2 linked regions of the Macaca mulatta genome follow. The protein of the gene in region 1 purifies or fractionates together with the protein of each later gene. This does not show direct contact. Links are inferred from orthologs where the notes say so. Each region holds a gene or a part of one and is shown on either strand. Other genes may lie near its edges. The genes, in order: RAB5C and GDI1.

The links.
Region 2: the proteins of RAB5C (region 1) and GDI1 purify together in Homo sapiens (affinity purification with mass spectrometry; 3 studies listed by BioGRID and IntAct, counting the BioPlex papers as one, with this or other methods). This does not show direct contact. The link is inferred for Macaca mulatta from reciprocal best matches to the Homo sapiens genes RAB5C and GDI1.

What each region holds. Positions count from the first base shown.
Region 1 is NC_133421.1:66,492,754-66,497,057, reverse strand, and holds the start of RAB5C (ras-related protein Rab-5C), read left to right. Parts: upstream 1-1,351; 5' UTR 1,352-1,468; intron 1,469-4,304. UniProt on the Homo sapiens protein: The small GTPases Rab are key regulators of intracellular membrane trafficking, from the formation of transport vesicles to their fusion with membranes.
Region 2 is NC_133426.1:160,619,220-160,623,497, forward strand, and holds the start of GDI1 (rab GDP dissociation inhibitor alpha), read left to right. Parts: upstream 1-1,200; 5' UTR 1,201-1,483; coding exon 1,484-1,528; intron 1,529-2,796; coding exon 2,797-2,904; intron 2,905-3,036; coding exon 3,037-3,136; intron 3,137-3,277; coding exon 3,278-3,412; intron 3,413-4,220; coding exon 4,221-4,278. Other genes in the region: ATP6AP1 (V-type proton ATPase subunit S1), read left to right, coding at 1-166. UniProt on the Homo sapiens protein: Regulates the GDP/GTP exchange reaction of most Rab proteins by inhibiting the dissociation of GDP from them, and the subsequent binding of GTP to them. Promotes the dissociation of GDP-bound Rab proteins from the membrane and inhibits their activation.

The sequences.
Region 1 (4,304 bases):
GCCCTGGTGACTAGATGGAACTAGATGTGGGCACAGTTTTGTGGCAGGTTGTCCAAGGCAGGTAAATTCTCCAGCTGAGGCTCCAAGATATGTCTGGTGTTGGCCAGTGTTAGAGGCACAGTGGCCACAGCTGTCCCCGGTGAGCTTTGATTCCACACAGGTTTTCAGTAGTGTCCCTGGAGGGTGAGATGCAAAAGAAGAGGAGGTACTGGTCTGTGTTGAGAGGTAAGGGTGGGAGGAATCAGGAGCGGGCCCCATCCATATTGAGACGAGTAGAAGAAACAAATATTCCTGATCCACATGGGGGGGTGCAGAGTGGGGGTGGTTCTAGTCTTTATTTGCGGATGGAGAGGGCCCAGGCAGAGATTGTCCAGCTCTGTATTCCGTGTCAGAGAGAAGAGCTGACCCTGGCTGGGAGCAGGGGAAGGCAGAGGCAGAGATGGTCTTTGTGCCGGCCCCCTGCACCAAGTAGGAGGTGGTGGCAGAAGCTCTCCGTTTGATCTCACCCAGCATCCTGTAGAGAACCCTTCCTACAGCGCTTTCATCGCCTTCCCCATCACAGACGCCCCCAGCAATCGGGCTTCCCAAGCTGACTTGGCCGGAAAGTGCAGACAGGGGCTTCTCCAGATCGGCAAGTTCGAAGGACTGAGGCCTCGCATGCATATTCATTCGCACCATGTTTCTTCTTTCCCAATTCTGCACACATAGTCCTCTGCCTTCTTCCAACGCTCCACCACCCGCCTTCCCTCGGGGCGTCCGGAACCGGCGGTGACCGGGTGGCAGGCTTGGCCTCAAAAAGTTCCCGGCCATAGGCTGGGCGCAGTGGCTCAGGCCTGTAATCTCAGCACTTTGAGAGGCCGAAGAGGGCGGATCACCTGAGGTCAGGAGTTCGAGACTAGCCTGGCCAACATGGTGAAACCCCGTCTCTACTAAAAATACAAAAATTAGCCGGGCGTGGTGGTGCGTGCCTGTAATCCCAGCTACTCGGGAGGCTGAGGCAGGAGAATTGCTTGAACCCGGGAGTCGGAGGTTGCAGTGAGCCGAGATCGCGCCACTGCAATCCAGCCTGGGCGACAGAGTGAGACTCCGTCTCAAAAAAAATAAAAAGTTCCCGGCCGGGCTCGGCCTTGTAGTCAGCCGGCTCCAGCCTAAGCCCAAGTCCCAGGCAGCCACGGACTCCTCCCATCGCCACGAACTACAAGTCCCGCCATCCCTCGCGCGCGCCCTCCCGCCACTCCCGCGTTCCTACCGGCGCCGCTGGGTAGGTCGGCCAAGAGTGCCTCCCATTGGTTTCTCCGCCCTGTCAATCACCAGGGAGTATTGAGGGGCGGGGCGGAGGTAGAGATCCGGATCCGGAGCGGCTGAAAGACGGAAGTGGAGGCCGGAGCCTGGGACACCGCCGGGGGGGGAGAGAAGCAGAGCCCGTCCGAGCCCCGGCCCCAAGTAACGCCGCCGCCCCGGAGCCGCCGTGAGTATTCCTGTCCCAGGACCTGGTGTCTCGCCTGCGTTGAAGCATCTCCAGGGCAGCCCTTCCTCCCGCCCAGCCCCAGTTTAGGGGGATACTGACCCCTCCCCCGACCCGTAGCCCCCTCTTGAGGGGTTCCCCAGGCGTCGGGCCGCAGGAGATGGGGAGCTTCTTTCCTTAGCTTACCTACCTTTCGTGAGCCTTAAGGAAATCGCTATGACTGTCCTCTGGCCTGTCCATTCCAGTTGTGGGAGAGAGGTGCCTAAGTTCCGCTCCCCCTGCTCCCAGAATCGGAGGATCTTTGCCAGGTGTGAAGGAACCTGTCCCTCTTCTCTTTTAGAAGTGACGGAGAGTGCTGTCTGTCGCCGTTTTCCTTCCTGCTGTCCCACAAAACCAGTTGTCCCCTCCAGCCCTAGAGGAATATCTCGATTTCCTTTGGGGGAGGGGGTCGTCTGGGTGAGACCGTTCCACACGCACAGAAGTGTGTTGGCGCTCCCGCAACTCCTTACTTCCTCTCTTTCCTCAAGCCAGAGAACCATCCAGGACCTCAGCAGAGTTTAAAGTTTGGGTCACTTACTGGCAATGAGCTGTTTTCTTGCTTTGCCCCTTCTGTCTCCCAGCCCCTGTTCTCTAGTTATGTTGTTCTCTGAGTGTCTCTCTCTTCCTGACTCTGAAGAATTTAGCTGAGGTTTGCTCAATTCCAGCTATAAATCACAGATCAGGGTGGATGTGCCCATTCATTATCTTCTTTCCCCTCCCCCCTTGCTCCAGGCTCAGCTCTGTCCTCCCACAGCACGTGAGTGGTTTCCAAGCCGCCTCAAAGGGACTGCTGCTTTTGGGACTGCTGTCCGTGTGTCTATAGGGAGGAGAATGAGACCCAAAATGAGGAGTCTGGAATTGAAGGGCTATCTCTTTCTCACTCCCAAACACACACACACACCCCACGCTGAGCAACAGGTCCATGGCACGCCAGGGTCTGTCTCCAGTCCCTTCTGGGCTTGGACTTATTACTGAGGACTAAGTCAAGATCACAATGGCAGTTCAGGATTTTTAACTGTAGCCCAAGGAATTCCCATACATGCCAGAAAGTGCAGGTTCCCTCAAGCATATTGACTATGATCCTTGTCTGTTGCTTGGGGCTTTGGTGTGTGAAATAGCTGCTGTCTCAGACCAAGCTTTGTTATGTGGCCAAAGTACAGGCCGGAGACTGTGCCTTAATGAGGAGTAGCCTGGCTCTGAGGCCATGACCGATCCTTGCTATCTACAGTGAAGGAAGGGACAGAAAACCATGCAGTTTGTGGGAACTTCTGTAGCACTTCAGTGTTCTGGGCTACCTTTACCACCCTTGCGTGCCACTTAAAAGTGCTGTCTTTTGACCTTGAGGTGTGTTTGAGTGCTTCTGGACAGCGGCTAGTGTCTGATTCCTACATTCTTTTGAGTAGACCTAGGATGTACTTATTTCACTTTTTTGTTTGTTTATTTTCTTTTTTTTTTTTTTTTTTTTTTTTTTTGAGACGGAGTCTCGCTCTGTCACCCAGGCTGGAGTGCGGTGGCCGGATCTCAGCTCACTGCAAGCTCCGCCTCCCGGGTTCACGCCATTCTCCTGCCTCAGCCTCCCGAGTAGCTGGGACTACAGGCGCCCGCCACCTCGCCCGGCTAGTTTTTTGTATTTTTTAGTAGAGACGGGGTTTCACCGTGTTAGCCAGGATGGTCTCGATCTCCTGACCTCGTGATCCGCCTGTCTCGGCCTCCCAAAGTGCTGGGATTACAGGCGTGAGCCACCGCGCCCGGCCTGTTTGTTTATTTTCGAGATGGAGTCTTGCTCTATCCTCCAGGCTAGAGGAGTGCAGTGGCGTGATCCCGGCTCACTGCAACCTCTGCCTCCTGGGTTCAAGTGATTCTCCTGCCTCAGCCTCCCAAGTGTCTGGGATTAACAGGCATCCACCACCACGCCCTACTAATTTTTGTATTTTTAGTAGAGAAGGCGTGTCACCATGTTGGCCAGGCTGGTCTTGAACTCCTGACTTCAGGTGATCCACCCGCCTCAGCCCCCCAAAGTGCTGGGATTACAGGTGTGAGTCACTGTGTGCGGCCTACTTACTTCACTTTTTATTGGACAACAGAAGAAGCCTTCGTTATTAGGGTCAACAGCTGGATCACAAGCTCTGTATCTGTGTGGGTTCCTTTGGGGCTCATTGGAGACTTCTTCAGCCAATCTAGTTTCTCTGATCTGGTCAGCCTGGGTATCTGAGCGGCAGGGCCAGAGAGGCCTGACTGCTCACTGGCCATTGGTCTCTGACCAGACTTAGGTCTTCAGGAGTAGAACGTAGTTTGTCACTCTTCATGAGTGCTGGGATGAGGCCGACCAGGCTTCTGAGGAGATCTTCTTTCCTTTATCTGGACATGGTCTCCCAGCTCTGACTCTGAAATGAATTTTTTTTTTTTTTTTAGACAGAGCTTTGTTTGTCGCCCAGGCTGGAGTGCAGTGGCGCAGTCTTGGCTCACTGCAGCCTCCGCCTCCTGAGATCAAGGGATTCTCCTGCCTCAGCCTCCTAAGTAGCTGGGATTATAGGCATGTGCCACCATGCCCAGCTAATTTTTGTATTTTTAGTAGCAGCAGAGTTTCACCATGTTGGTCAGGCTGGTCTGGAACTCCTGACCTCAGGTGATCCACCCACCTCAGCCTCCCAAAGTGCTAGGATTACAGGTGTGAGCCACCACACCCGACCTGAAATGACTTTTGAAGGGGAAGCTCTGCCATTTAGAGAGACGAGGAAGGCCTCAGTGCTTTGGGTAGTTATGCAGCCACTTCTGGCATCCAGAAATTATAGAGTCCAAG
Region 2 (4,278 bases), on another chromosome or scaffold:
TGACTGTGCCAGCTTCTTCTCCCCCGGCATCTGGATGGGGCTGCTGACCTCCCTGTTCATGCTCTTCATCTTCACCTACGGCCTGCACATGATCCTCAGTCTCAAGACCATGGATCGCTTTGATGATCACAAGGGCCCCACCATTTCTTTGACCCAGATTGTCTGACCCTGTGCCAGTGGGGGGTTGAGGGTGGGAGAGTGTCCGTGTTGTTGCTTTCCCACCCTGCAGCACACTGGACTGGAGCTTCCCTCTTCCTACCGCAGCATGAACCCCAAGCTCCCCTCAGCCCATCTTGCTCCCTCTTCAGCCTGCTGAGGAGCTTTCCTGGGCTGCCCCCATCTCTCCCAACAAGGTGTACATATTCTGCGTAGATGCTAGACCAACCAGCTTCCCAGGCTTAGTCGCTGTGAGGCGTAAGGGACATGAATTCTAGGGTCCCCTTTCTCCTTATTTATTCTTGTGTCTACATCATCCCTGGCTGTGGATAGTGTTTTTGTGTAGCAAATGCTCCCTCCTTAAGGTTATAGGGCTCCCTGAGTTTGGGGTGTGGAAGTTCTACTTAACTGTCCTGCTTGGCTGTCGTTATCGTTTTCTGGTGATGTTGTGCTAACAATAAGCAGTACACTGGGGTTTATTTCTGTGGCCTGAGAAGGAAGGTGGGCTGGGTGCGATCGTCGGCTGTCTGGCATGTTCCCACCGGAAGTGCCTGGCAGGAGCAGGGGGTGCTCGGTTGTTTCCTTCCTAATAAAGTAAACGAGGATCGCCATGCGTTGGGCCTCTTGTCGCTCATTTCTGCGCTGAGCTTTTGGCGCGTGCTCGCCAGAGGTATGCGGGAGGATGGAGCCTGGAGAGGGGGAGGCTAGGAGGCATCCCCGGAGACCGGGAGGGGCTTTAGTAAGCTGGGCCCTAACCGCTTAGGTCAGGGAGGGGTGGTCGGGCCGAGTCCCGGTGCGCTTCGGCGTCTCAGGAGGCCGTAGTGACAATGGCAGCCTTCGCGTCGTGAGGGAGCCGCCCCCGGCTGCCGCAGCGGCGCGCGTCCGGTCGCGGGGCCGCGCCGAGACTCCCGGGGGGCGGGGCGGGCGCGCGCGGGGCGGGGCGGGGCGGGTGGGGCGGGGCGCGCGCGGCTCCCGCGCATGGATCCTTTCCGGGCCGCAGCACCGGCCGCCGGCCCGCCCCGCCCGCCCCGCCCGCCCCGCCCCGAGCCTCTCTGGACTCTCGGCGAGCAACGTCGCCCGCGGAGCCGCGCTGGTGCTGTGGCCCGGGCCCTGGCAGCCCTCCCGGGAGGCGAGCCGGGAAGGCGGTGTCCCCTGCCGGGTGCGGCGGGGCGCGGGAAGAGGCGGGACTCTTTGACGCGGCGGAGGGGTCGGGCGGCGGCCGACGCTCCGCCATCTTTGGTCCAGTGCGGTGGCGGCGGCGGCGGTGGCTACTGCTGTGGTGAAGGAGGAGGAGGAGCCGAGCGGGCGCTGCCACTGAGGCCTGACCATGGACGAGGAATACGATGTAATCGTGCTGGGGACCGGCCTCACCGTAAGTGCGGCCCCGGGCGCCCTTGGCCCTGCGTCGTGCCCTCGCCATTCCCCGCGATGATGCGGCCGCCGGCCCATCCTCCGGTCACTGCCATCTTCTGCGCTCGGCTCCCCGAAAAGCCGGCGCCGTGCCCACCCCGCTGCTCCCCCCGCGATGTCGCCTCTGTTCGTTGCCATGACCCCATCTCCCCGAAGGGGCCCCCTTCCTGGCCGCCCCCTGGCCTACCCGGGTCCGACCCCCGGCGCTCTCCCATCTTCCCTACCCCTGCCCTCTGGACCGGAAAACGCACCCCCACTCGGCCCGTTGCCCCCGACCCCGCCCACCCATCGCCCCCACCCCGCCCACCCATCGCCCCCACCCCGCCCACCCATCGCCCCCACCCATCACGGCATCCACCCGTCGCCCGCACCCATCGCCCGCCTAGCGTTGCCTCCCAGCGTCCCTTCCCATCTTGCGCTAATCCCTGTGAGGATGAAGTACAAGGACCTGGGGTCAGGGGGCCTCGCCAGGGTGGGCTCTCAGCCCACCCCCTCGTCGTCTTCTGGGGCCAGGGGATCCAGGGAATGTTCCAGAAGGAGCAGCAGTGGGGGCAGTAAGCACATTCCCGCAACCCCACCTCGGTTGCCCATGGAGACCTCAGGCTGAGTAGCATCTGCAGCCTTTGTCCTTGGGCTAGTGACAGTGACTGGTGAGGGTGTTTATCTTCCCCCTTTCCCCGAAAATCCCGTTGGCCCACTCCCCTCAGAGACTCTTCTCCCTCGGTCCAGACCCAGATGCCCCTCCTCAGCGGCAGGGGCTCCTGCTCTTTGAAGAAAGAGCAGTCCAGGGTGGGGCCTACAATTTCAAGGACTGTGCTAAGCCTTTCTTTGCTTCCCTTTGGAGTGTCCTTCGCAGTCCAGCTGGGTCCCCTCTGTGCCACATTGTGTTTTATCCGCCTTTTTGTGCGGCTCTGCGTAGGTAGATGCCTCTCGGCGTGTTGGTACTGGAAGGCCATCCTGTGTCTGCTGGATGCCCTGCCTACCTCAAAGCCTCCGTTATTTCACTGTCTGCCTTGTGAGGGGGACGGGTCTCCTTTACCCCGCAAGGTTGCAATGGAGAGTGTGGTCGGATGAAACCATCACCCCAATTTTAGGCGAGGCAACTAGCCGGTGGGGGTGGTGGATGGAAGGAGCTGTCCACTGAGGCAGGTTTGGGTGGGGAACAAATCAGGGCTGCTGGTAGGAGCAGAGGAAGGTGGGAGTGCAGCGGATTGTGTGGCCCTCCCCCAGGAATGCATCTTGTCGGGCATCATGTCTGTGAACGGGAAGAAGGTGCTGCACATGGACCGGAACCCCTACTACGGGGGCGAGAGCTCCTCCATCACACCCCTGGAGGAGGTGAGGCTGCCTGGGCCCAGGCCCATCCCTGTTAACCTCCCACACAGCGGCACAGGGTGGAAGTAGCTCTCCAGGTGCCTGGAGCAGGAGGAGGTGGTCCCTGAGGTGTCTCTCTCTCCCTTCTGCTTACAGCTGTATAAGCGTTTTCAGTTGCTGGAGGGGCCCCCTGAGTCCATGGGCCGAGGCCGAGACTGGAACGTTGACCTGATTCCCAAATTCCTCATGGCTAACGGTGAGGGACAGGAAGGAGGTATTGCAGGTCGGGGGTGATAGGGAAGACCTAAGGACAGTCAGGCTCCAAAGGAGGCGCAGCCAGACCAGCTAGAACCTCTGGAGAGAGCCGTGCTGATGTTGCCCTTGTGCACCCCCACAGGGCAGCTGGTAAAGATGCTACTGTATACAGAAGTGACTCGCTACCTGGACTTCAAGGTGGTGGAGGGCAGCTTTGTCTACAAGGGGGGCAAGATCTACAAAGTGCCGTCCACTGAGACTGAGGCCTTGGCTTCCAGTGAGTGTGGGCCCCCTGAGCCAGAGAAATCATGGGGTGGCAGGGAAGCCAACTGTCTTTGGGATGGGTGGCTGTCCAGAGTAAGGTACCCCTTTGTCCAAAGTCACATTCCCCCATGAAGGGGACCAGAGGCCCTTCACTCTGTATTCCCTCTGCCCCATGTCATGCCGCATGGCTGGCTGCCAAGAGGGAGGTCCCCACGCAGCAGGGATGTGACGTGGAGGGGAACGGGACTCCTTTTGAAAGACTTGAGCGTGGCCAGGCGCGGTGGCTCATGCCTGTAATCCCAGCACTTTGAGAGGCCTAGGCGGGTGGATCACGAGGTTAGGAGTTCAAGACCAGCCTGGCCAACATGGTGAAACCCCGTCTCGTCTCAAAATACAAAAAATTAGCTGAGTGTGGTGGCACACACCTGTAATCCCAGCTACTCGGGAGGCTGAGGCAAGAGAATGGTTTGAACCCGGGAGGTGGAGGTTGTGGTGAGCCGAGATCATACCACTGCACTCCAGCCTGGGCGATAGAGTAAGACTCCATCTCAAAAAACAACAACAACAAAGAAAACTTGAGCCTTTGGCAGGGGCTCCACTGGATCCTCAAGACATCCCCAAGTGTCCAAGCCAGGAAAGCCCTTAGAGTCCATCCAGGCCAATCCCCTCTTCATCCTGGTGGGGAAACTGAGGCTAAAAAGGGTGGAGAGGTTAACCTAAGGTCACAGGACAGCTGGGCTGGGAGTGGGGGTGCCTGCCCTGCTGAGATGGAGAGTTTTGTGCTGCGTTGGTGCAGAACCTCCTCCCGCCACCTTCCTTAGATCTGATGGGTATGTTTGAGAAACGGCGCTTCCGCAAGTTCCTGGTGTTTGTGGCAAA